Linked DNA regions of Mus musculus. The protein of the gene in region 4 purifies or fractionates together with the protein of the main gene of each other region. This does not show direct contact. Links are inferred from orthologs where the notes say so. Each region holds a gene or a part of one and is shown on either strand. Other genes may lie near its edges.

Region 1 (6,120 bases), on a different chromosome or scaffold from region 4:
TTTGGTTAAATTAGGCTGGTTGGCCTGTATCTCCCCAGGGATCTGCCTGTCTTTTCCTACCTACATCCCTGTGATTATAAATGTGTGCAACCAGCATAGACTCTATACCAGATTGCTGGCATCAAACTCAGATCCTCAAGTTTGCATGAAAGCACTTTATCAGCTGAACTATCTCTCTAGTTCTAACACTGGACTCTCTTAATGGTTAAATCATTCCTTTAAGCATATGAGCTTTAAGACAGAGCATCTTCCTAACACTTCTCTAGGGCACTTTATCTCCTATTCAGTTTAACAAATTATAATACACGGTTGGCATCAAATTACTAATTAATATAAGAGTCATGCTGTTTAATAGCATGCTACAGTCTGGGCCTAACCAGAAAGTTATATAAAATCAGAAACTCTACTACCATATATTATTCAAAATGTACTGAGTCAATGAATGAACTGCTTCCCTTAATGGATGGATGGATGGATGGATGGATGGATGGATGGATGGATGGATGGATGGGTGGATGGGTGGGTGGGTGGAGATGTGGGGGTTTCATTATGAGGATACATATCTGAAAAACTGAAGTGAGTTTTATTACACTTAGACTCACACAACCTTAAACAGAAATCATTAAAGTTCTGATAGGTCAATCTGAAAAAAGTTTTCACTGTTAGGCATCAAAAATGCGGGACTATAACTAGCCTACAAAAATTTTACCTACAAAAATACAACCTCAATCCCCATTTTTCCAAATCCATAAGCAAATAAATGAACACAGTTGCACCAGTCTTATAGTTTAAGAAACCCTTAGACTACAGTGATTGAACTAATTGTTTTAAGGAGTTTCCCTCAATTCTCCAGCTGTCTTTTCCTTTGCTGTCTTTTGAACTGCAATGATTCTTTTTTCTTTCTGCAAGTCATGGATACTTCTAAGAAACTAACAAAAGGAAGAAAAGCCAGAAAAATAAACATATACCCCTTTTTTTTATTTAAGGAGTTTTGAGCCCCTAATAATACAATAACCCAGACAAATAACTTATATTGCCATAAGGCTGTTTTATAATCACATACAACTCCTTTACACACATTCAAAATTTGGAATTATCACAGTGAAGCATAATACATAGCATTAATATTTTTAAAATTTAGTCTAAGGGGGCTGGAGAGATGGCTCAGTGGTTAAGAGACTGCTCTTCCAGAGGTCCTGAGTTCAATTCCCAGCAACCATATGGTGGGTCACAATCATCTGTAATGGGATACAATGCCACCTTCTGGTGTGTCTGAAGACAGTGACAGTGTACTCACATACATCAAATAAATAAATAAATAAATAAATAAATAAATAAATAAATAAATCTTCTAAAAGGTCTTATCATACTTTCAAAACTTTAAGAATCCCAAGTTTACCAAAACTTGTTATTTGATCAAACTCTTTGCATTAAAATGAGTCATATTCAATTCCTGTTTTTATTAGCTGTGACACATTGGCTTCAGGAAATCACATAAAGCTCAAAAGTTATAGATGAGTAGAAAAAAAGAAACTCATGTTGGTATTGCGCTCTGGGTTCCAGTACTTGATTTGTTGTATCAAGCTGGGATAACTACAGAACAGTGAAGTTAGTTAGCTAGGAACTGAAAGTGATACTATCTCATAATCACCTAGTTACCTTGTCAAATCAACTAAAACATAAAAGATGAAATAGGACGAATAGCCAAAGAGTAAATGTTATTACTACTAGAGATAAATGCTTTTCCTTTACTATATTGAAAATTGGGAGATTCTTGCTAAATGTATAAAACTATTTATGGAAACTATTCCTTAACTTTTATTTTTAAACTTTTTACTACAGTTTATACTGGGCTAAGTAAGGGGAGAGGGAAAACAGAAGTAGGCTCACTCTCTTACCACAAACTAGTACATTTCAAAGTCACATTATCAAAACTTTTGACTGCTTGGCTGAGGCAGTGACTCGTGCACTCAGGAGACCCACGGAGGAGGCTCTTTGTGAGTTCAAGGTCAGCCTGGTCTACATAGCATGGTCCTGAACAGCCAGGACTTCATAGAGATACCCTATCTCAAAAAGAAAAGAAACAAATTGAAATACATTCAACTCGAACAATAAACTCAGAACTGTTTTTCTTGAATCCAGGATGGTGTGAGCCCTCATCACTGTGATAAATATTGCAGACAAGTCAAAAGAACTGTGACTCAGTTTCTTTATTTGTAAGTGCTTGGGGTAATAGGACACATTAGGGAAGTGATTTCTAGATTTGTCTCAGGTTTTGATGAGATTTTAAAGTTGAAAGATTACTTTAGCCCAAGTCCGTTCGCACATAATGGAAGATTTCATATGTCCTAATATTTGAGCCCTGTTTTCCCGTATGGACGGTCCATAATAGGAAAGTAAACCGGAGCCAGAAGAGAAGTGCAAGTCCAGACCAAGTGGCCAGATGCCACAGGAAATGGTTTGAGTTGCATGTCACAGTCTCACCCTCTCTTCTACTATAATCAAGTTGTTGTTTACAACTGAAATGTAGACGAGCGACATGGACTTGTACTTGGGATGTGGAGTAGGATTCTACTGTTCAAAAGGCTCAGGAGAGGCTCAAAAGTTTGCCTGCTGAATCTCTGCAGGAAACTCCTTTCTCCTCATGCCACTGAAATTAGAAAGTTTACCAAAAGAGGAACCCTTTTAACTGATGAGTTGAAGAAACCCCAGTATTTCCCAACCCAATACCAGGCCCCATCGATTTCTGGCCTCAGCAGGAAATGAGCTACTACTGGACCACACTGTCAGGACTGTGAGACAAGTATGGGGAACATAACTGCTTCTGAGCATTCTCAACCAAGTGGAAATGCTGTGCTGGGATGCAGGGGGGGGGGGGGGGTTGGCGGGGTTACCCAGCCTCCAACTCCTCCCACGCTCCCCCCAAGTCCCAGACTTCCAAAGAAATGTTTCTTGGGTGAGCACATGGGGGGTGGGGGGAACAAACGCACGCAGGCGCCTCTTTCTCCGATTTCTGGCAAAGTCGAAGGAGCTAGGAACCTATGTGGTGCTTGTCTTGATTTCCTTAGCTATGAGTGGGCTCCGATGCGCTCGAAACGGAGAGGAGGGAGGCTCCCCTGCCCGGGACCCCAAGTGTTAAGGGACCAAACAGCAACTGACAAGAGGTGGGAGGGAAATGGAATCCCGCAAAGAAGGTTCGCGCCCACAAGTTAGACAAACAGCCCTACCCCAGTACTCTAGGACGCGACGCAGGGTGTCCCCAAGTTGGGGTGGGGCCTTTCTCCTCCGCAAGCTGACCCGAGAGAGAAGGCCGGATAAAGTGGAGAAGGGGTGCTCTTCCGCCCCCACGCCGTCTCCGTTCCCTGAGTTGTGCGGCGAGATCACGGCTGCTGCCGGGAGGGGAGGGCCGGCTCCCAGGCGTGTTCCTGGGCAGGACGATCCGGGGATCTCGGGTCTCCGAGACCAGCGGGGCTTGCGGGAAGACTTACCAGTTTGGGTTTGTTTCTCGTCTCCTCTTCGTTGGCGGCCCGGTTCCCCGCGCCTCGCTTGTTGCTCCGGCCCCCGCCGTGTTCCTCGCCGCCACCGCCGCCGCCTCCGGCTCCCGACGCCGCCGCCCCGAGCTCCTCCATCTTTCTCTGGCCCTGTCACCTGCCGCCCAGAAACCCCAAGTCTCCTCAAGGGCAAACACCCCTCGGAGCGCTAAGAATGTCCCGCGTCCACGGACAGAGAGGGTTGCCCGCCAAGCGCCGCTCCCAGGCCACCGGGTCTCCCCAAGCCCAGGCAACCCCGACGCAAACCACGCCGGTGCCACCACTCAGCGCTGGGGCAAGCCCTGCCCCTAAGCAGCTGCAATCACCGCGGTCGCCTCCGCCCTCGGGGCGGCGTTTAGGGTGGAGGAAAAGTAGGTGCCTATCTCTTTAAGACGGCCTCGACACACGTGATTCATCAAAGTGCCCGCTGTCGGTCGCCCGGGCGGGCTCCGAAAGCCGCTTCCTACTCGTGGAGCTGAGCCGCCTGGGCTAAGACTGGAGCCTACCAGAGGACATTCTACTGTGGTTAAGCACTGATTTCACTTCCTAGTTGTCTAGCACCAAAAGGAAGGGAACTAGTCTAGACGGGTAAAAAGAGAGAGAGAGAGAGAGAGAGAGAGAGAGAGAGAGAGAGAGAGAGAGAGAGAGAGAGAGAGAGAACCCATTTTAGAGATAGGGAAACTGAGTGAGGAGGATTCTTGTGAGCATTTTACTGGCTAGGCCACAAGTATCAGCTTTCACTAGTGTTGGTCACCCCTACCCTCCCTAGGCAGAAGGCCCTCAGGGGATGTGCTCTTGCTTCATTCTGTGGGCAGGTTTAATTAGCAAGGCAACTGGCAAAGTATAAGAAAACCACCATAGGGAGTTCTGATTAATTGCCTAGACAGATTGTATGGGCCAAAGTGGAAAGAGTGGGTGCCTCTTGCCACAATTGCCTTGTGGCCCAAAAAAATACAATCATTGCTTCCTTTGCAGGCTGTTGGTTAAGGCCAACCTACCCCTACCATAGATAGCTTTTTAACCAAAGCACCTATTTAGAATTTACTATTGGACTGAATCCTATCTTCGATTTCCCAAGCTAGTTTAGGTTTAAGGTTATTGCAAAGAGTAGTACATAAGATTTTATGTGTTGAAACTTTGTTTAAAAGATAAATCTCTAGACAACTGATGTTTTTGTGTAATACCAGGGAGCAGCGTATACTCTTCTCTCAAGGCACCGCACCTAATATTTCATCCTCAGAAGGTAGATTTTCCCATTGTTTCCAAAGGAACCTTACAAAGGCGGGGTTTCAACAAACCAACAAACCATCACAGAATTAGAGACCAAGTGGTGGGGAAGCCACTTGTATTAGAAACTTAAACACCAAGTCTATAACCATGTCTATAACCCTACTAGTGACGAAGATAACTTTGGGCTGTGAGACCATTTGGCCTTCTCCAATTCAATTTGAAGTTATGCTGAAACAAACTTTTATCAGAATGAATGCAGTATGATAAATTTGGCCATCATGTGAGTGCAATGACATAAATAACTTGAATAATAGAGCAAAAGAATTGTAGATATCTCAAAAGCGCTCAAGTCTCAGCTTTTGTCTTTATCATTAAGTTTCTTTTTAATCCTGTGGACAGGCTGTCTACGTTACCAAAGTAGCCAATTACCCAAGGAAGGCAGCAGAGGAGTTCATGCTCTCAATACAAAGGACAGAAGCTCCGAGATACCTTTGCTTTCTTGAAGATCATACTTAACTACAAATTAGATGTGTATTTTCAATTTGACGCATTCCGCACATACACAACTGAATCTAAATTTCATTCCACCTAAAAAAGAGTAAAAACACAATAGGTTTTACAGAAAGATACTGAATGGTATTCCAACACCTACACGTACTTCCTGTAGAAGAAATGTGGGTATAGGTCAAAGTGAGGGTCTTGGAGTTGGAAGGCTAAAGCTGACCTCATGTCTGTCCCTTAGGCTATTGGAAGAAACAGGCTGAAAGAACTGCATCATGGGACAAAAACTACGTGAACAGGAAACTCCCAGAGTACCTATGTCAGAAGCTCAAGAGCGCCTTCCCTCAGAAGACAAGGTTTGAGCTGTTAAAGTTCTGCTGAAAGCCTTGAAGGACCAACGAAGTACTACAAATGTAGCTTATTGTCATAGAGTTCTCCAACTATTGGGGAAGATATTTTTTTTAATGTATTGACCAATTTCAAAACAGGCACAGAAAGCATTCTAGGCAGGCAAAGGGACTGAAGATAGATTTTTGCAGAAACCCTATAATTTAAGAAAACAAAGGTGGGGGATTGTTGCAAGGCAATGCAGCAGAGCATACTGGCCCACTGGGCAAGCAGAGGCAGGCAGATCTCTATTTGAGGCCAGCCTAGTCTGCATAGCAAGGTCCAGGCTAGCCAAGGTTACATAGTGAGACATTGTCTCAAAAATAAATAAATAAATATATATATATATATACATATACATATGAAACAAGATCAATACCTACCAATTGTGGCCATCTCAGACCCTGGCTTAAGGCTTGCTGTTTATTTTTCAGCATTTTGCTCTAGCTAATGTGAAAAGCAAATTGTTAAG
Region 2 (6,099 bases), on a different chromosome or scaffold from region 4:
AGGTATGTGACACACCCCGTAATACTGTTATAGAGAAGGGATTTTTTTTTCCTTTGAGCAAGAGTTTATTCCTTTTTATTGCAGAGAACTAAGAGAGCTTGCAGAGAGGGCATTTCTTCTATAAAATTATTTCTCTGAGTGCCTTAACAGCATGCTTTCATCTCTAAGGACAAACCTTGCCTGATAGAGAGGCTCCGAGTTCAGTTTATTGACTCAGTAAAATCCAAGCTCACTGATTATGTTTCCACCTAAAAGCTTTCCACAGTTATAAGATTGGGGGAACATTTAGAACCATGTGAGGTTGGGTTTCTTTCTGAATATTTTCCCACAGCCAATTGAACAATACATTAAGCCTACCCATTAGTTGGAGCATCACCGCTTGTACCCTTGTTCTGATGGCCAAAGGAACAATTGTGTTGTCTAGGTTCCACTTCAGATATTTGAAATAGAATAGATCAGAAGAGCAACAAAGTTATATCCTGCTTCTGTGGAGACAAACGGTTCTGCTCTGTACAGAATAGGCTTGTCAAAAGACGATCAGAATCCAACAGCAACCTCCTCTTTCACACACACAAAAAAAAAAAAAACCCAAAAATCAAACAAACAAACAAACAAACAAACAAAAAAACCCATCATTTTCCCTCTCCTCTGAGATGCTCCTCTAGTTCCAAGAACGTATTTCACTTGAGCCTTAGTGTTTGAAGCAGAAAAGGGAAGATAAGTAGTGATGTGATATTCCACCAGCAATTAGGTGAAGAGTAGTTGGAAATTTTAATTGTCAGTCTTCATTTCCTGAGAAGCAAAATCTTAATTTTGCTGGTGGAAGAGGGCGTGTGAGCTGATCACAGCAGTGCCATTGAGAGTGGAATGAATACAGCCCCCCCCACCCCCAAACACACACACACACACTTGGACATTTGTTCCCTCTATTTAAGTTTCTCACCTTTGGTGTTATTGAATGAGATCATGAAACCGAAAACTTTTATGTATTAAAACCAAAATCTTCCAGAAGGGTCAGAATTTCACTTCACACCCTTTGCTAACACTTGAATACACATAAAAGTGTCTGAAGATCGGGGGCAATCCTTGAAGGGTACTGTTTGCTTAAAGGTCTTAAAATTTTTATATTTTTGAAAGGAAATGTGCGGGGAACAAGGGTGGAGGGAGTGTTGTGGATTTTAAAATTTTATATATGAGTAATTAACTAAAACTTTGAGATATGCATGTTATCTTCGGAGGAGCTGAGAGCCACCAGAGCGGGAAGTCCCTAAAGGGATGAACAAAAGCATGGCTGTTCGATAGTTTTATCTCCACAGCAGCAGGCTTTCAGACGCAGGATTGTGGTGACTGTCTCTGTCTTCTATTACACAGCATTTTCATTAGTGACAGCCGCCGGTTTTTCTCAGGTTAGCCAACTAAGTTGTCCCCAGCTTTCTTCTTGACCACTCGACTCGGTCTTGGTTTAAAAGGGAAAAAAGGAAAGAGAGGAGGAAGGTGAACTAACCCAAAGTGTGGTTCAAGGAGATTCCTTTTTTTCCGCGGCTGGCGTTGTTTGATCCTTGGGGATGTGAGGAAATACTGATTCAGTATTCAACCCAGAACCCCTGGAGTCCTATGAATTAGTGGTTTTGAGCAGGGAAGGAAGAGAAAGGCTTTTATGGACCCTTCCCAGATGGGGGCAGGAGAGCCCAACCGAACAGAAGTGCCTGGCGGGTGTGCGCGAGTTCAGGACGCCCCTTGGTCCTGCAGCCTACCCGCTGGCAGGATCAGAGGTCAAGTCAAAGGGCACGGCCGCTGGGTGCCTCGCCCTCTTCCCCAAACATTATGCCCCTAGGCTTCTGACTGACCACCACTGGTTCTGCTAAACTGGAGGGCGGGGAGGGGGCGGGTCTGGGGGGCGGGGAGGGGGCTGGCACAGAGGGACAGAGATGCACCTCGGTAAATGTAGTTCCTGAGCGTGAGGATGGAGAGACTGTTTCGGCTCTGTCTGTAGGACTAGGACTACAACATCCAGAATCCTAAAGGCGAGTCAAAGCGTCCATGCGCAGTGGGTGCCACCTTGTGTCCTATCAGAGGAGACGAGGGTGATGTCACCTGCGAGTTGGTAACCTACGAGCGGCTGTGAAGGGAACTGTTTAACCGGATCCCATTGTACCGGGAGCGCAGAGCGGCCTTTCCAGCATGCAGCGGCTGCTCAGGTGAGGGGACTCCTCGGCTCGCCCGCCGCACTCATTCATTAGCGGCACCGCACCGTGGCGCGGGGTGGGCGTGCTGGTTCTTCGCGCTGTCGCGGCGCGCCCTCCTGCTGCTTCCCGGAGCTCCGGGGCCAGTAGGTAAATATTAAACTCGTCCTTCAGGTTGGGTTTGGGTGGGAACAGGACCGAGACAGCTACGAGCTGCCAATCTAGGCTTTGGAAAATGGCTGCAGCACGGCTCGGAGCGAGGCGAGCCTGAAGGAAGGCATCCCCGAGGATGGGGTCCCTCCCTTCTTTCTTTCCGAGGCGCTCGGTGGCCGTGGAGCCGGCCGGGTACATCTCTCTTCTTCCCGGCCACAGGCTCCCCGGGGCCAGGGCTGAGGGAGCTGCGGCAGCGGGCGGCGCTCCTGGGCCGCTGGCTCTGTAAGATCCGTGGGCATGGCCGTGACCGCGATTCCCCTACCATTCCTATCACCTTCGGGTCAAGTCATACTCAAAACGGAGGGGCTGACTAATCCAGGCAGTCTCCGAGTTTACTGTGTGCAGAGAGAAGAAGGAAACCTGGCATTGCGGAGGCCGCGAGCCGGCGGCTAGCTGCGGCGCGGGGAGGCTGCGTCTCCGGGGGACTGGATGGGGTTCCCCGCGTCCTGCTTCGAGGGGCGTATCGCAGTCTTGGCTCTGCCAAATGGAGCCCTGCAAAGGGCACCTGGGCGTGGGCTAAACGCTCTCCTTAGAACCATGGTGGTGATGGGGTGGTGGATAACCTAATGATAAGGTTCGCTGTGGGGGCAGGAGGGCTGGATAATCGGGTTTATCTAACTGGTGCCCAAACCAGCTGTTTGGGATTGGCTTGTCTTCTGACTAGAGAGGAGAGCAGGGCGAGGCGAGGCCGGGCCCGACCCGACCGGACCCGGCCCGGCTGGACAACTCGAAAGTCTTCTGGCTTTTCTTTTCCCTTTTTGCGTCAGCTCCATTCGTTCATTTACTCACATTCATCAAACCCTTCTACGGTCCTTTGCACGTTGCTTACAATCAAGGTTTGGGACGTTCTGTCCCCTCCCCATAAAATGTTTTACTGTGCTCAGAAATAGATTCCTCCTCTCAGTCTCTCTCCTCCACCGTCAATGTTGGGAGAGCATCCAGAGCAAATGCTGCCCGTGACCGTTTTGCCCCCATTGAATTGGTAGTTTCTTGAGATTTGAGCCGGACCTAGTGAATTGAAGCATAGTTTGCCTGCAAGACGAATCCGGTTGCCATGGCGACTTCTGCCTTTGGAATCTTAACAGCTCGCACTGCTGTTTCAATTCGTTGTGGCTCTGCGGGCAGCTGGGAGGGTGTGGTCGGGGGGGTGTGGTCAAATGTTTGCCCTGGGCCCAGCTGCTCCCTCTTCCTCACCCTCCTAGCAGCTCTGGGACTCCCCCATATTCTTTCCTACATAGCTTGGACACCATATTTTTGGACCTGTCCCCTCCCATGTGCCTATACATCATCTCAAAGCGAATTGTCTGGGGCTTTTGTTCTAAGGTAAACTAAATTTGGAAGATGTTTTTCCTCCAACGAGTGAACTGTATCTTTCCATCATTATCATAGTTAATAGTGCTGGAGGCAATTTACTTAACAAGGTCACTCTTCCCAGGCCTACACAGCTCCCTGGTCAGCAATTACCTGAAGTACCATTACCTGTAAATGACAGAGCAATTAATAATTGAAGTTGAGGTATGGAGAACAGAGACATTGCAATTTTTATGAAATCTAAACTCCAGCTGAAGATCCTTAAAGTGGAACTCTGGAGGCTGAAAACAGGAGCCCTAGGTCCTGTGCCAGCATTTTATGTGATGTCCTGCTGTGGGCTAACAGTTACCTCTGGGAGCACCTGTCATCTCATTGATAATGTAGACAGGGGAGTTCAGAGAATTCCTAACGTTGGTTTTAGGTTTAAAGTTTTGAGACTTGGAAAATGACTCCTCCTCCAAATAACACAAGGCTTAAATTCAGCTCTGACATTGTAGCATTCAACTTGTGTTGCTGGCCCCCAAACCAAGATCCTTGGGGTAACTGTTACATAAATGGACAGGACAGCTATAGTAGTATTTTAAAATTTATAATACACTTGATACTCCTATTATCCCAGCATCTGGACTTTTATGTTTTAGTCATAATTAGTTGCTTAGATTTTATGGTTTGCAGATTCACAATGAATGTAGTTTATTTGTAACTTAACTGAACAAAAGGCATTTAAATTATACTAAGATGTTTGTTTTTCATCTCCTGTTTGCATTCTCTTCCAAGTGTGGTATCTCTCAGAAATGGGGGATGGTGTGCATAGGAGTGTCTATGCAAGTGCATTCATGTGCAGGTTAATACTTGGTTGTTGTGCCAAGTGGATAATGCTCACCGTCTTAAGCTTAGTTACATCACTGTGAGGCAGCACTAGCACAAGTTAGCACTCTCTTGTTTATGTATTTATTTTTGTTCTCGGATTTATAATGACAGCAAAATGTCCTTCGTTTATTAGCTTGCTTGTCAATGCTTCTTGGTGCTAAGCTTTTTGAAGGCAAGGTCTTTGTCTTCTTAACCATTTCAGAATTTGGAACAGGTCTTTTAATAAGCATGTGTTAAATGGGTATTAAGGAGGATCAGAAATCCAAGGTTTGTATTTTTTCTCCTGACAGTTATGTAATTTGTTGTAATAATCCCCCCTTTTTTGATTAGTACCTACACCTTGCTACAGTTCTTTCCATGAATATAAAAATGATATATATATAGTTATTTTATAACTAATTTTGGAACTAATTCACCTACATAGGTTATTGTTTTTCTTGTTATAATTTCTTAGTACACTTAAAGAGATACTTTTATTAGTAGTACTTTCCTTGGCCTAGATAATTTTCCCAGAAGGCAGATGGCAGGAAACTAAGGAGAAAGACAAAGGCAAAGATAGCCGCTTTTGTCAAGCCACCAGTGGCTCCTAGAGTTGCTGGGAGACCGCAGTCTGTCATCTGGGGCAGAGCGATTCTATAAACAGGATCTGCCGGTCCAGGCCAAGTCTAGGAGAGGACATTAGTGTGGTGTTGGTAAAGCTGGTATGCGGTGGTCACGTCCTGTGGGTCTGGAAAACTGGAACCATCTTGAGAGAGGTGATAGAGAAGGGTCACGTCCTTGAGTGGAACTGGAATCCTGGCTTTCTCCTCTTGGTGGATAGTTCTGAGTGTTGAGAGTGTGCTTGTGGATAGAGCTACTTTGTTTAAAACACTGCTCCTAGTGTTAGTCATTGGCCTCCTAGAACAAATAAGGTGCTTAAAAACAAAACCCAGTTAAGACTAAAACCGTTTCATTTTGTAAATATTTAGAGTATGGTTTTGGCTTGAGGATCTCAGGTTCTTCTGTGAAAACATTTCAAAGTTGCAGCTGGATGGGAGGGACGAAGCTCAGTATCACTGAGAGCTTCAGGTGTTCCGTTCAGAAAATGACCCACAGAGCTTGCCACTGGGGGGAGGGGGGTCTTCCCTAGCATCCTCTATTCCGTGTTTTTAAATCTTAAGTCTATTTCTATTAGTTCAGGAAAAAAACAAAACAAAACTTTGCCAGCTGAGGTTGCCAAACTTGTTTTCTCTACAGGGCACTACAGTTGAAATGAGAGTGCTTCCCTGCCCCCCTCGCCCCCAACCCCCTTGGGATAAGGATTGTGAATTACTGTCACTTGTTCTGGTGTTAACTCAGTAATGGAAGAAAACGTCCTGGATAATTTCAAAGCTAAATACTCACAACGTCCGTCCTTTTTAAGGAGCTGAAGGGATTGCATAGGCTTCATTTCAGTGGTCTTTTGTTTCTGCTTGTGGCTTCTAAGTCTGGTTGGCAGAACAGGCTGAGGTGGAGTTAATCAATTTTGGAGTTACTTAGTGAG
Region 3 (5,454 bases), on a different chromosome or scaffold from region 4:
CACCCGATGCTGGTGCCATTGGAAGGAGCTGGTGCTGACTCGGGCGCCCGGGCAGTATTGCTCAGGAGAAAGACGCTACAGTCTACAAGAGGTGGGTTCACCACACCCACTCCAGATGCCTTGGGTGCATCCTCTACTGGAGAGAGAGAAGAGCCCGGCTACAGCCAGTGCCATCTCAGGCCAACGGGCTGCCCAAGGCCATGGTACCACACACCTGCATCCTGAGGCGGCATTGACGGTCAGAGGTCTGTAACCTTATTCTCAAGCGCAGCAGCAATCTGCTGTAGGCGGAAGGCCAGTTGCATCTTTTGGGCTGCAGGGTCCTCCTCCAGAGCATTGATGATCTGGTGGGGTTGGGGGTGAGGTAGAGATGGACACAGAGGAAACCATGTCAGATCATGGGGGGTACATGCGGGCACGCTGTCCTGCATCCCGCCACAGGGACCTGGAGCATACCTCATCATAGTACTTCTGTGTGTATTGGTAGAGCTGGTGTAGGGCCACGAGTGTGTTCAGGGAGTCTGTGTGAGCCTAGGAATGACAGTATTACGCAGTGTGAGGAGAGTATAGGAGCCCCAAGGCCAGCCCCACAGAACAGCAAGCTGCAATGTGTTGGCCGTGCGGCACCATGACAGATACATCAGTAAGAGGACCACATCCTGGAAAGGCCACAGGCCAAGCCCACGCACGTGGCAGCGTGTGCTTAACAGCAGCCAGTATGGCGGGCACCAGGGTTCTAAGCACCTCAGTGGCTACATATCAGCCTCTACATACAGGTATGTTTGCTATCTCCTCAAGACTCAGTTATGGTCAAGGCAGCTTGCCTGTCCCACTTGCCACGCCCATTCAGCTACCCTCCACCCCTCTTGCTGTAGCATCTGTACTCCCGTGCCTGGCTCAGCAGTGGGCAATAGCACATGCGCCCTTGCTCTTGAGCTCTGTGGCCCTTACCCGGGAAATCTCTGCCAAGTGCGTATTCATGTCCTGGTCGCTGACCTGCACCATCTGTCTGATGCCCTTGTAGTAGCTGCAGAGGGAGAGGGGTGTGGATGGAGACAGGAGGAGGTGAGTGCATGGGAAAGAGGGGGTTGCTGGACCCTGGGGTCTCTTAGGGATTCCCCAGCCCCTCCTCCACATCACTCACTCCTCCACCATCTTCTTGTAGGTAGAGATCTCCTTAGCATACAACAGCTTGTTGCTGGGAGAGTCCTGCGGAAGACAAAAGCTTTTGACACTGGGCTAGCCTTGACTACTCAGTTGTCACAGAGCACTATCGAGGCTCCACCCCTTCCTGGACGGTCGGTCCTGTCCAGGGGCCACTGTCGCCTATGAGCACAGAGGCTTACTCACTCGGCTCAGCTTGTGCTCCGTGCGAGTACAGGCGTCCATGAAGGTCTGTGCGATGACTGACAGGGAGGCGTCCACCACTTCGTGGACGTGGACATCAAAGATGAAATGAGGGTTCTTCAGGATGTTCACCCAGAACCGAAGTGGTAAACTGCAGCGGGGAGACGGTCAAGGGAGTTGAGGGGGGGGTGCTGGGCTGTGGCCTTGGGGCAGACAGGGCGGAGGCAGGGCAGGCAGAAGCCTCACCTGTTGGTTTTCCAGATATGGATGGTATCCTCATCTCGGATGTCATGCTTCTCTGCCTGCTCGTCCAAGAAATCGAAGAAGTACTTGACGGCGGGTGGCACCGCATGCCCAGGCGCCAGCACGCTTTGGAAGAAGTTGTCCACAAACTGCTGCAGTGTGCCCTATGGAGGACAGCGGCTTGATGTGACCCCCCCCCCCCCGGGACACACTGGAGGCAATAGCGTAAAGGGATGCGTTCCTGCGACTGAGTGTTATCTATTTATTACCTTGACGGAGAGTAGCCGCGTCAGGTAGATCTCTGTGATGGCCTTAGTCCGCTCTTTCTCCTTCATGCTGCCGCGCTTGGACTTGCCTTCATCTACCTCATCTGTTGGCCGCACCAAGTGCCACACGCGGTTTTCCTCTTCCAGAAGGGCATGGCCTGTGGGGGTGGGGGTGAGGAGCAGGCAGCTGAGGGACCTAGTCCCAGTTCAGGTTGGGTGTGGCCTGAAGTTTGGTATGCAGGGTCTTGGGGTCCACTAGGGGGCAGCAGAGGGAGGGGAGGTCTCCACAGACCTTTAGGGACTAGAAGAACAAGATAAGAAAGACAGCATAGACTTACGCTCCCCTGGCAAGTCCTGTTGGCTGTCTTCTGGCTGCTGGGAGACTCCCACCTTAGACAGGATGAGGGTGGCTCCATCCCGGACCTGAGGACAGAGTCATGAGGGAGGGTTATGTTCCCACTGGGGAGTTCAGCACTATCCCCCTTGCTTAGGGTACCTCCCCCTGCTTAAGGGACCTCGGCACTCACGTTGTAGTGCATCAGGGTGTTGATGCGCTTCCACCGGCCCTCCCGCTGGGAGGTAAGGTCCAAGTCAGACAGAATCTGGGCCGTGGACCCAGGACGCCATTCTGCAGAAGGGCATAGCTCAGTTTCTGGAACCCGGGGCCATGCTCTGCTCATTCCCAGGCAGAGCTGGGCACACGGGGCCTCACGAACAAGTGGAACTCACCAAGCACCACACTGTCTGGCTTGGGCCAGCAGGAGCAGGGCTGAGTACGGTACACTTGGTCGATGATCTTCTCTTTGACCTGAGAGATGGTGTCACAGTTGAGGACCTTAACCGGGATGGCATCGATCCCTTCATCCTGAACAATCACGCTCACGGTCTGCGAGGGAACACAGGATGGGAAGGGCCAGCTGAGGAGGACCCTCGTGACCGTACCTCAGCATCGCAGAAACCCTTCCCAGGACAGTTTGGCTTCGCTCTGCGAAGTTCAGATGTGGAGTCCAGGTTCCTGGCTCTGCCTTCCTCTCTGCAGCCTCTGGCTCTGGGGGACTTACCAGAGGCGCATACTCAACATCGTCCCCGAGCAGGCCTGTGTCATTGAGGGTGTACTTGGCCTTCTTCTGCACAGCATCCACGGGCCCCTTTTCCACCTGGTGTTTGATGGCCTTGAAGAGCTTGTAGAGAGGCTCCCCTGCACTATCCTGGAGCGAGGGGGCTGTGTGAGTGGGAGGCACGGGGCTGGACCTCCTTCAAGGCACTTAGGCAAGCTTCGGGAGGGATGCCACCGATTCACCCACCCCTAGCTCTAGGGTCTGGGCTCACCTTGAGGTACTGGTACAGACAGATGGACATCCAGTTGGACAGCATCCTCTCCACCACTGTCTCAGACCTGAGGGTAAACAGATGCCTCATTCTCCAAGGCCCGGCTGGCTCCAGGAGCCCACGGCAATGCACATGTGCGCAAAGGGTGCTATGGCCCTTGTGAGTGGGCGTGCCATCCTGAATGGTTAGGTAGCATCCCCCCCACCCCCACCCCCACCCGCCATTCCCACGAACCTGCGCAGCATTAGCTTGGGGTTCTTGGCCACCACATACTGCTCCATGAGCTCCAGGAAGAGCGTGCGCATGATGTCCGTGTAGTACTCCAGCTTCCCGTGCAGGGCCACAGTCAGCAGTGATGCAAAGTAGACCTTGGCCCGAGCTGAGAACTCACGCTGATTCTCCAGGGTGTGGATGAACTGCGGGGCAGCCAGGGAGTGCACACTTGAGCACCTGGGCTGCAACCTTGCCCCACCCCTTACCTTAACCTTATCTTTCTGCCCCCCTCCTCTGTATCCCCCTCCCCGCCCCTGAGCCCCCTCTGCTCACATTGATGAGGAAGGACTTGCTATTAAGCAGGTTGGAGAACTGGTAGAGGGCTTGCTCCACAATGGGCCGCCGTGACTCAGGGATGTCTAGCTTGCCGGTGATCATCACATCCTTGTCACCATCCTTGGATGGCAGGAAGAATACGCGGTCGGTGTAGGTCTTGTAGTCCAGCGTGGGGATGCCTGCCTCATGCACGTCATTCGTCTGGTCCTCCATCTCGATCATCAGGTCTGAGAAGGGGATGCAAGCCTGGGTGAGGCGACCCCTGGCCACCTACTCCTGCTGCTCTTAACCCGGGCCCTCCTGCAGTTTCTGGCCCTAAGGGGTGGCCTAGAAGATCCAGGGATACTCTGTGGCTCCACCTGCCGGGGGAGGGGGACAGCCCCACCTGTGAATTCCTTCTTGCAGCGGTCACGCACGCTCTCCTCCAAGCCCTCGAGCTGGGATTTGATCTTCTCGTACTCGCGCTCGGCCTGCTGGCTCTTCCTCCTGTGGGGCATTGAACGGCTCTCTGGTATCAGTCAGCTATGACGGTCAGAAGCGCTGATGCTGATGCGGGAGGGATGAGGGGAGCCTTACCGGGGGCAGGACTCACCAGTAGCAGTAGATGGAGACCACGATGATAAACACCATGGGTACCATGACCAGAGGCAGGATGAGACTGAGCGGCACGTCACTCGCACGCGTGTCGTACTCCACTCGGCCTAGCACCCACTCTCGGGAGCCAAACTTCACCTGTGTGGAAGCTAGGGCTCAGCGCAGGCAGGTGTGGGCGGCGGCGGCTTCTCCTGAGAGGCTCCCCAGGCCCTCCACAGCCCTCCCGCTCTCACGCACAATGAACTCAGGTAGGTTGTGTGCCGTGTCTCGCTTCTGCCGCCGCTTGGGTGGAGGCTGCACCTCTGGGGGCTCGCAGTACAGGTCCGTCTCGGTCAGCGTCTTCATAATGCAACGCTCAGCACCCACAAATGCCTCTGCCTCCTCCAGAGTCATGGCTTTGTTCAGATTGGTTCCCTGGAGGGGGGATGGGTGACGGAGGAATGATCAGCGTGATCAGCGTGAGCCCCTGCCCCGCCCGACCCGGGACCCCATGCCAGCCGTAGGGGTCTTCTTACCCGGGCGTGGATGAGCTTGTTGACCTGCTTTTTGACGCCACCCGTGAAGTTCTCAAAGGTGGGGTCTGCCACATACTCAAAGACTCCGGCTTCGGTCCTGAGCGGGGCACAGTGACCGTCCATCCGTATCAGCACGGTGAGGTTGTAAGCCTCGGGCTCTTCGGGGACAGCAGGAGACAAGAAGACGACCTTGGTGTCGTTGTAGAACACGTACTCCATGCCCTCGACCTGTGGAAAGGGTCCCAAAACTTGATGAAGATCTTGCTCCTCCCTCCTGCTTCCCAGCTGCCCCTGTCCCCATTAGAACTGAGCCCCCACCACCCCCAAGCCAGGACTGACCGTCACACGCTCCAGGGCTCCAGCCTCCCGCCGCCGCCGCCTCCAGGACCGCAAGGGCTCAGCGATGACAACCATGGCAAACTTCTGGATGAGGCTGAAGCCCTGGCCAGTAACGTTGATGCTCCGGCCACCACTGGGGGGGTTGAGGAGGGGCATGCTTCAGTGAGTTCAGCTCAGTCAGCTTCGAGCTTCCACTCTTACTAGTTATACCCCAGGCAGGAAGTGGCATGGCAGGGTGGTAAATGTGCATCAGAGGGAGAGGCGAGTTAAGT
Region 4 (6,055 bases):
CCCAATTAAGACACCAACTGTAGTCTCCGGCCTCTGCCCTAGAGCAAGGACTGTCACAGTGGAGATAGAGACCCAGTGTAGCCACCGACATACCAGTTGAGGGCCTACAACAAAGATCTTGGGCGACAAATGCCTGTGAACACCCCAGCCCACTGCTCTCTAAACTCTTGACTCCCACAACATCAGTAACATCAAGAGGCTCTGAGGGAACTGGGCTAGGCAGAAGTCGAGCTGGCGCTGTATGTGTCTTCAGGAGCCACTACAGCCACCTGCCTCTTCTGAGGTCACCAGTTCTTGCTCCCGACATCAGCCAGACCTGAGATGAGCTAGCTGGAAGGGGCTGTGTTGGCTTCGTCACTGAGCAGTGTCACTGCCCTGCCTCTTACTTTGGAATGTGACTTTATACCTTTTGTGGTGTTCTTTGCTCCCACCCTCTAGGCAGAAGTGCCTAATCTTATCTGTTGTGTTCAGCAAGCGACTCAAGGCCTGGCTTGGGTTGACCCAGGACAGAGATGACTCAGACCTGGTCCTGCCCTCCTGAGGTCACAGAGAGATGACCATGACAGAATGAGGGCAGGGTTCCCCAGGTAGGACACCTGTGGAAACTGGAGCAGTCTGAGGACTGCAGATTTGAATAGTTCTGCAGGTGGATGCTCTCTGCCACCTCCTGTCCCTGTCTTGTAAGCCATTCAGAATGGCTCTGTTCTCAGTGCCATCTGAGACTCCTTGGGGAAAAAGGTCTCTCTGTCCCATAAGCTCTATTTTGCCCCTTCAGCCGTGAACGTGACGTTGGAGGTTAGCCAGTGAAGATCAGAGGCTTCTCCAACCACTCTCTCCCCTGCCCTTTGCTGCAGGCAGAAAGCCTGGAAGACAGGAACCCATGCAGTGGACGTGGCTTCAGAGGTCATGGAGTGCCCTGGGCGAAGAGGCGGAGGTGGGGGGTGGGGTGGGGGGGTGCGGGCAAGGTGACCTGAGTGCCAGATCAAAGCTACCCTCATGTTCTCCTCAAAAGGCTCTGCCTGCAGTTGCACTTGGGAGGTGGAGGCAAGGAGGTTAGAAGGCAATCTTGGGGCTGGTGAGATGGCTCAGGGGTTAAGAGCACTGACTGCTCTTCCAAAGGTCTTAAGTTCAATTCCCAGCAACCTCATGGTGGCTCACAACTATCTGTAATGGGACCCGATGCTTTCTTTGGTGTATCTGAAGACAGCTGCAATGTACCCATATAAATAAAATAAATAAATCATATATATATATGCATCTTTGGCTACATATCGAATCTGAGGTCATCCTGGCCTACCCAAGACCGAGCAAGACAAACCAGCCGGACAGCTGCAGCACACACCGGTAATCCCAGGCAGAGACAGGCAAATCTCTGTGTTTGAGGCCAGCCTGGTCTATAGAATGAATTCCAGAACAGCTAGGGCTACACACACAGAGAAACCCTGTTTCTAATAGTGGTATTTCATACTTGAAGTCACAGCACGATAGAAGCAGAGGCAGGAGGATCATTGATTTGACATGAATGTAGACTACATACAAAGACTTTGTCTCAAAAAGAAAACTAACTAACTAAAACATAAAACATAATTAAAAGAGCCCTCTCTCATGCCAGGGATTTCCTAGACAAAGGAAGACTAAGGACAAGGTTGGTCCACCCCCCTGGTGACCACTCTGGTCCTCTGCCACTCACTCCAGTGCGTCCTGTAAAACATATATGGTTCATGAGCCTCTTAAGTGGTGGCACACACCTTTAATCCCAGCACTCATGAGGCAGAGGTCAGCATGGTCTACAGAGTAAGTTCTAGGGCAGCCAGGACTATACAGAGAAACCTTGTGAACACACACACACACACACACACACACACACACACAAAACCCCATAAACAGTTCATGGACTTTTCTGCCTAGTGTCTAGGATGCCTGCCCCAGGCCAGTGTTGCAGAGCCTTCCCCACCCCCTCCACCTTTAGGTGCCTCCTCTGATCTCCTGGTTCCCACGTTGGTTGGGTTCCCATGGGCAGTACCTAAAGACCTGGAAAATATCTCCTATACTTAAAAACAAAAAAACTGTAACTGGTCAAAGAAGGTGACGTCAGCTTTGCAAACCACAAAACCAAAGGCTGTGAGATGGGTATGGTGGTGCATACACGTGATCTGAGCAATCCTTGGGCCGAGAGACAGGAGGACTGAGCGTACAAGGCCTCCACAGTAATATCCTGTCTCAAAAACAAAACAGGAACCACTAAAGTAAAACGACAAAAATACAACCCCCCCCCCCAAAAAAAAACCCAACAACCATAAAAACCACTGGTATTCAGAGTAGCAAGCAAGACTGTGCCCTATTTGCCAGGTCAGCTTCTCTGGCTCCTTCCATCAAATTACCCACTTCTGCACAATCCCAGAGGCCAGAAGGACGTGGGGACAGGAAAAGAAGGCTTGCTGCTGAAGGCAAACCCACAAACACACAGGACCCCCACTCCTCGTGGAGGCACAGAAGGAGGGCTCAGCCACTGTTCTGGTCATGGGGTCCTTGAGGACTCACAGTGACAAGCCCAGAGAGCCAGGATGCAACCAGGTACCGCACCGAGCCGGCCATCAGCCTTCAGCCTCACTGTCCCAGCTTTCTTCCCCCTATCAGGTTGCTCTGAGAAACTGAGGCTTGGTTAGAGTCGAAGTATGGCATAATCAGACTCTTCAGAGAAGGGTCGGTGTTCCAGTTTTCCTCTCTAGGGTAAAGCATGGGGATTTGCACCATAGTGGATGGAGAAGAGGTGATGTCGCCCGACGAACATCACTTACTAACTTTCAGCAACTAACTTTCAGCACTCTTTTCTATACTACGCTCGGGTAGGGGCTTTCAGTCCTATCATGTAGTTAACCTTCAGAGAGGTTAAGGGACTTGCCCAAAGGCACACAGCTGTAAGAGGCAAAGGCTTGATTTTACTGCTGCCAGTCGAGCTCCAAAGTCCTCACACTCTCGTCGCCAAGTAGTGACAACAACTGCTCTCGTAGGATTTGCTATTTCCCTAGGTGGCCCAATTCAGTCCCTGTGACACCCCTCCCCCTAAGTGCTATTAGTCCCACTTTGCTTCTACTGGCTAAAACTGAAAAACTCTGCCTTCGACCCCAGGCCCTGCTGAGATTTCCCCCTAGGAGGCTAGAGCTGGGTTCTTTCGAGGCAGCTCTCAGCAGACCCGCACATGGGGGGTGTCCCCAGCGCAGGGCCAAGGATGAGGGCACTCACCTCTGGGAAGGCCCCTTTGGCGAAGACCATCATCAGTGACGTCTTCCCGCAGCCCCCGTCGCCCACCAGGACCACCTTGACCGAGTGCCCGCTCTGCGGCGCCTCTTCTCCCGCAACCTGGGACGCGTTCATCCCTGGCTGGCGGACGGCGGTGCGCGGAGCAGCAGGCGGTACGCGGCGGGCTGGCTGCGGCGGGCGCGGGGCTGGCCCGGCGGGACAGGAATGTGGAAGGGGCGGGGCGGCGGGAGGAAGTGGGAGCGGGGCGGCCGGGACAGGAGGCGGCCCGGGGGGCGGGGGACACCCAGCTCAGGTGAGAAGCCCGGGACAAGATGGGGGTGCGGCGCCCGCCCAAGGGTGGACGCTCCTGGGGTCCGGTCTCCTGGCGTCCTGTCTAGACACTCAAGAAAGACTTTTGCAGCACCTACTGCGTGCAGTCGCTGAGGCCGCAGGGGTGAGCGGAGACCTACGCCTCCAGAGGGCACCCAGGGCTCGTGGGAGAGTAGACAAGTACTTGGAGAGAGGCTGGGGACAGGGAAGGAGGAAGCACCTGGACTATCTGCCATGGGTGGGAGGTTATTTTTATGAATGAATGGGTGGGTGAATGAATGAATGAATGAATGAATGAATATGAGTTTCTGCTATTTGCGGACCTCCTCCAAATGTTGTAGGCCAGATGAGAAAGGAGTGGCCCGGGCATGCCCTTGTGGGTCACTGCAGGACCTCTTCAGCCAGCTCCAGGAAGTTTCAATGAAGGTGGAATTACCACGCATCTCACCCAGGCAGCCAGTGAGCTAAGGAAAACTATGGAACCGTCCATCTGTAGAGCTCAGAGCTAGCTCTGGCACATGGCAGATGTCATGAATGGTTCATATTATGGTATATAGTATGATGGCCTTTTAGTTTTATTTTTTACGCGTGTGGGCGTTTTATCTGCATGTATAGACATAGACATGCATCCTGGTGTCCTCTGCACTCGGAAACCCTGGAACTAGAGTTACAGACATTATGAGCCACTATGTGGGTGAACCGGGATCCTCTGGAAGAGCAGCCAATGTTCTTAACCTCTGGGCCATCTCTCCAGCTCTTTGGTATAATGTTTAATCAATGCAGATGATCCTTAGTTTCTTAGAGTCTGGGGACCCTGCACTGTTCCGATCAAAACCTCGACTCTGAGAAGCCTAGAATAGGAGGTGTCAGGACAGGAGAAAGGAAAAAGGGGCTCTTCGAAGAGACTGGAGCAAGGTAGCCACGCCCCCACTTCTTAGCGACAGGACAGAGGGCGGGACTTGGCTGAGGAGCTAGTATCTGGAGGGTGGAGCACTTTGGATTTCAGGAATAAATCTTACTTTTCTCTAAATCTCCGCAACCTTCTTTGTGATCAGATTTTTCTTTTTAACTTTTGGTGAGCATAAGTGGGCTGGAAATGTAGCCGCGCTGCCCGGATGCTTAACCAGCACTCATGAAAGCCTCGGTCCCATTCCCAGTTCCACATAAACCGGGCTTGGAGATCCATGCTTCTAATTCCAATACTGATGAGGTGAAGCCAGGAAAATCTGAAGCTCAATGTCAGCTTGGCTGTTCAGTGAGTTCAAGGCCAGCATGGATTAGATATTCTGTCTAAAAAAGAGGGGAAAAAGGTCTCGCCTGTCTCCCCAGACCTCAGACTGGGTGTTTAATGGAAGCTAAGTGGACCATGGTCAGAAGTCTTTGGGTTTCACCTCCATGACTTCATCTCCCATTGTATTCAAAGTCAGGCAGTGAAGAGGACCTTCAGCCCTATTTGATCCTCACTGTGTCTCAAGGAGGCAGTTTCCAGTTTCCCTCTGGGCCAGAGGTCAGCTGTATGGAAGGAGCCTCCCAGAAGCCTCCCCAGCTCCACCTTTTGGATGCCCCTTTCCCGAAACCGCCACAGGGCTGGGCGGGACTTGGCATGAAGCTGGGTGTGTGGCTGAACAGGATGCCCAGAAGGAGTGGTGAGGAGCCCCCCCCCCCCCAGTCAGCTGTCAGCCTTGTCATCCCTACCTGTCATAAGGCCAGTCTGGGAGGCAGGTGGAGCTAGACCAAGGGTGGAGGAAGCTGAGAGTCAGGCGGAGGTGGCCTTGGTTGCTATAGGGATAATCACTCTAATGACACACTTGACAACTGTCACACGTTATAGTTTCTTTGTATACCTCATAATAACAACACATACTAATGGGTGATAGCTGCTATTCAGGGACTGTCCACCAGGAGGCAGGATTTGCTAGTTCCATTTTGCAGAGAAGGAAACTGGTGACTTCTTAAGGGGGACCCTACGGCTGTCCCCAAATCTCAGTTCTTGTACATTATTGCTGTCAGCTCTCACACTGTGAAGTAGGTTTCTACTTCTTGTTTTGGAGACTTGGGGATTGAACCCCAGAGGGAGGCAGCTGCTTGGATTGGGCCAGCCTCATCAACATTCTATGTTCAGGCTCCTGGGAAAAGCGTATCAGTCAGTCACTGACCCATGGCCATCTGCCCTGGTAGCCAGGAATTTCCCCAAATCTGACATTGCTGGACTCTGGACTACAATGTTTTCCTGACGTTTATTTTTGGAGTGGGGTGGGGTGGCCACACAGTTGGCCTCACTGGGGTGCTTGCTGTTTGCTGTTTTTCTGTTTACTGTGGCTGCTGCTGACTTCCGGCCGTGAGTGACTCAGCCCCCCTTCAGGCCCCATCAATTCCAAGCCGAGAATCCTTTATGAACCCCGTGTAGCATGTGACTGCCCTGGAGGCCTCAGAGTGGCCGGGGAGGTGGGGCCAGCAACGGTCTGGAATGTTGTTATTGGTGCTG

The links.
Region 1: the proteins of Rhod (region 4) and Diaph2 purify together in Homo sapiens (co-immunoprecipitation; 3 studies listed by BioGRID and IntAct, with this or other methods). This does not show direct contact. The link is inferred for Mus musculus from reciprocal best matches to the Homo sapiens genes RHOD and DIAPH2.
Region 2: the proteins of Rhod (region 4) and Daam1 purify together in Homo sapiens (affinity purification with mass spectrometry; 3 studies listed by BioGRID and IntAct, counting the BioPlex papers as one, with this or other methods). This does not show direct contact. The link is inferred for Mus musculus from reciprocal best matches to the Homo sapiens genes RHOD and DAAM1.
Region 3: the proteins of Rhod (region 4) and Plxnb2 purify together in Homo sapiens (affinity purification with mass spectrometry; 3 studies listed by BioGRID and IntAct, counting the BioPlex papers as one, with this or other methods). This does not show direct contact. The link is inferred for Mus musculus from reciprocal best matches to the Homo sapiens genes RHOD and PLXNB2.

The regions. Positions count from the first base shown.
Region 1 is NC_000086.7:129,747,485-129,753,604, reverse strand, and holds the start of Diaph2 (protein diaphanous homolog 2), read right to left. Parts: upstream 3,864-6,120; 5' UTR 3,630-3,863; coding exon 3,489-3,629; intron 1-3,488. UniProt on the Homo sapiens protein: Could be involved in oogenesis. Involved in the regulation of endosome dynamics.
Region 2 is NC_000078.6:71,828,999-71,835,097, forward strand, and holds the start of Daam1 (disheveled-associated activator of morphogenesis 1), read left to right. Parts: upstream 1-2,069; 5' UTR 2,070-2,333; intron 2,334-6,099. UniProt on the Homo sapiens protein: Binds to disheveled (Dvl) and Rho, and mediates Wnt-induced Dvl-Rho complex formation. May play a role as a scaffolding protein to recruit Rho-GDP and Rho-GEF, thereby enhancing Rho-GTP formation. Can direct nucleation and elongation of new actin filaments.
Region 3 is NC_000081.6:89,156,042-89,161,495, forward strand, and holds part of Plxnb2 (plexin-B2 precursor), read right to left. Parts: intron 5,316-5,454; coding exon 5,183-5,315; intron 5,072-5,182; coding exon 4,844-5,071; intron 4,743-4,843; coding exon 4,566-4,742; intron 4,467-4,565; coding exon 4,327-4,466; intron 4,221-4,326; coding exon 4,120-4,220; intron 3,962-4,119; coding exon 3,732-3,961; intron 3,602-3,731; coding exon 3,420-3,601; intron 3,253-3,419; coding exon 3,186-3,252; intron 3,065-3,185; coding exon 2,918-3,064; intron 2,743-2,917; coding exon 2,586-2,742; intron 2,485-2,585; coding exon 2,384-2,484; intron 2,280-2,383; coding exon 2,195-2,279; intron 2,015-2,194; coding exon 1,860-2,014; intron 1,755-1,859; coding exon 1,594-1,754; intron 1,499-1,593; coding exon 1,351-1,498; intron 1,210-1,350; coding exon 1,145-1,209; intron 1,028-1,144; coding exon 952-1,027; intron 532-951; coding exon 457-531; intron 345-456; coding exon 240-344; 3' UTR 1-239.
Region 4 is NC_000085.6:4,435,977-4,442,031, forward strand, and holds the start of Rhod (rho-related GTP-binding protein RhoD), read right to left. Parts: upstream 3,468-6,055; 5' UTR 3,376-3,467; coding exon 3,244-3,375; intron 1-3,243. UniProt on the Homo sapiens protein: Involved in endosome dynamics. May coordinate membrane transport with the function of the cytoskeleton. Involved in the internalization and trafficking of activated tyrosine kinase receptors such as PDGFRB.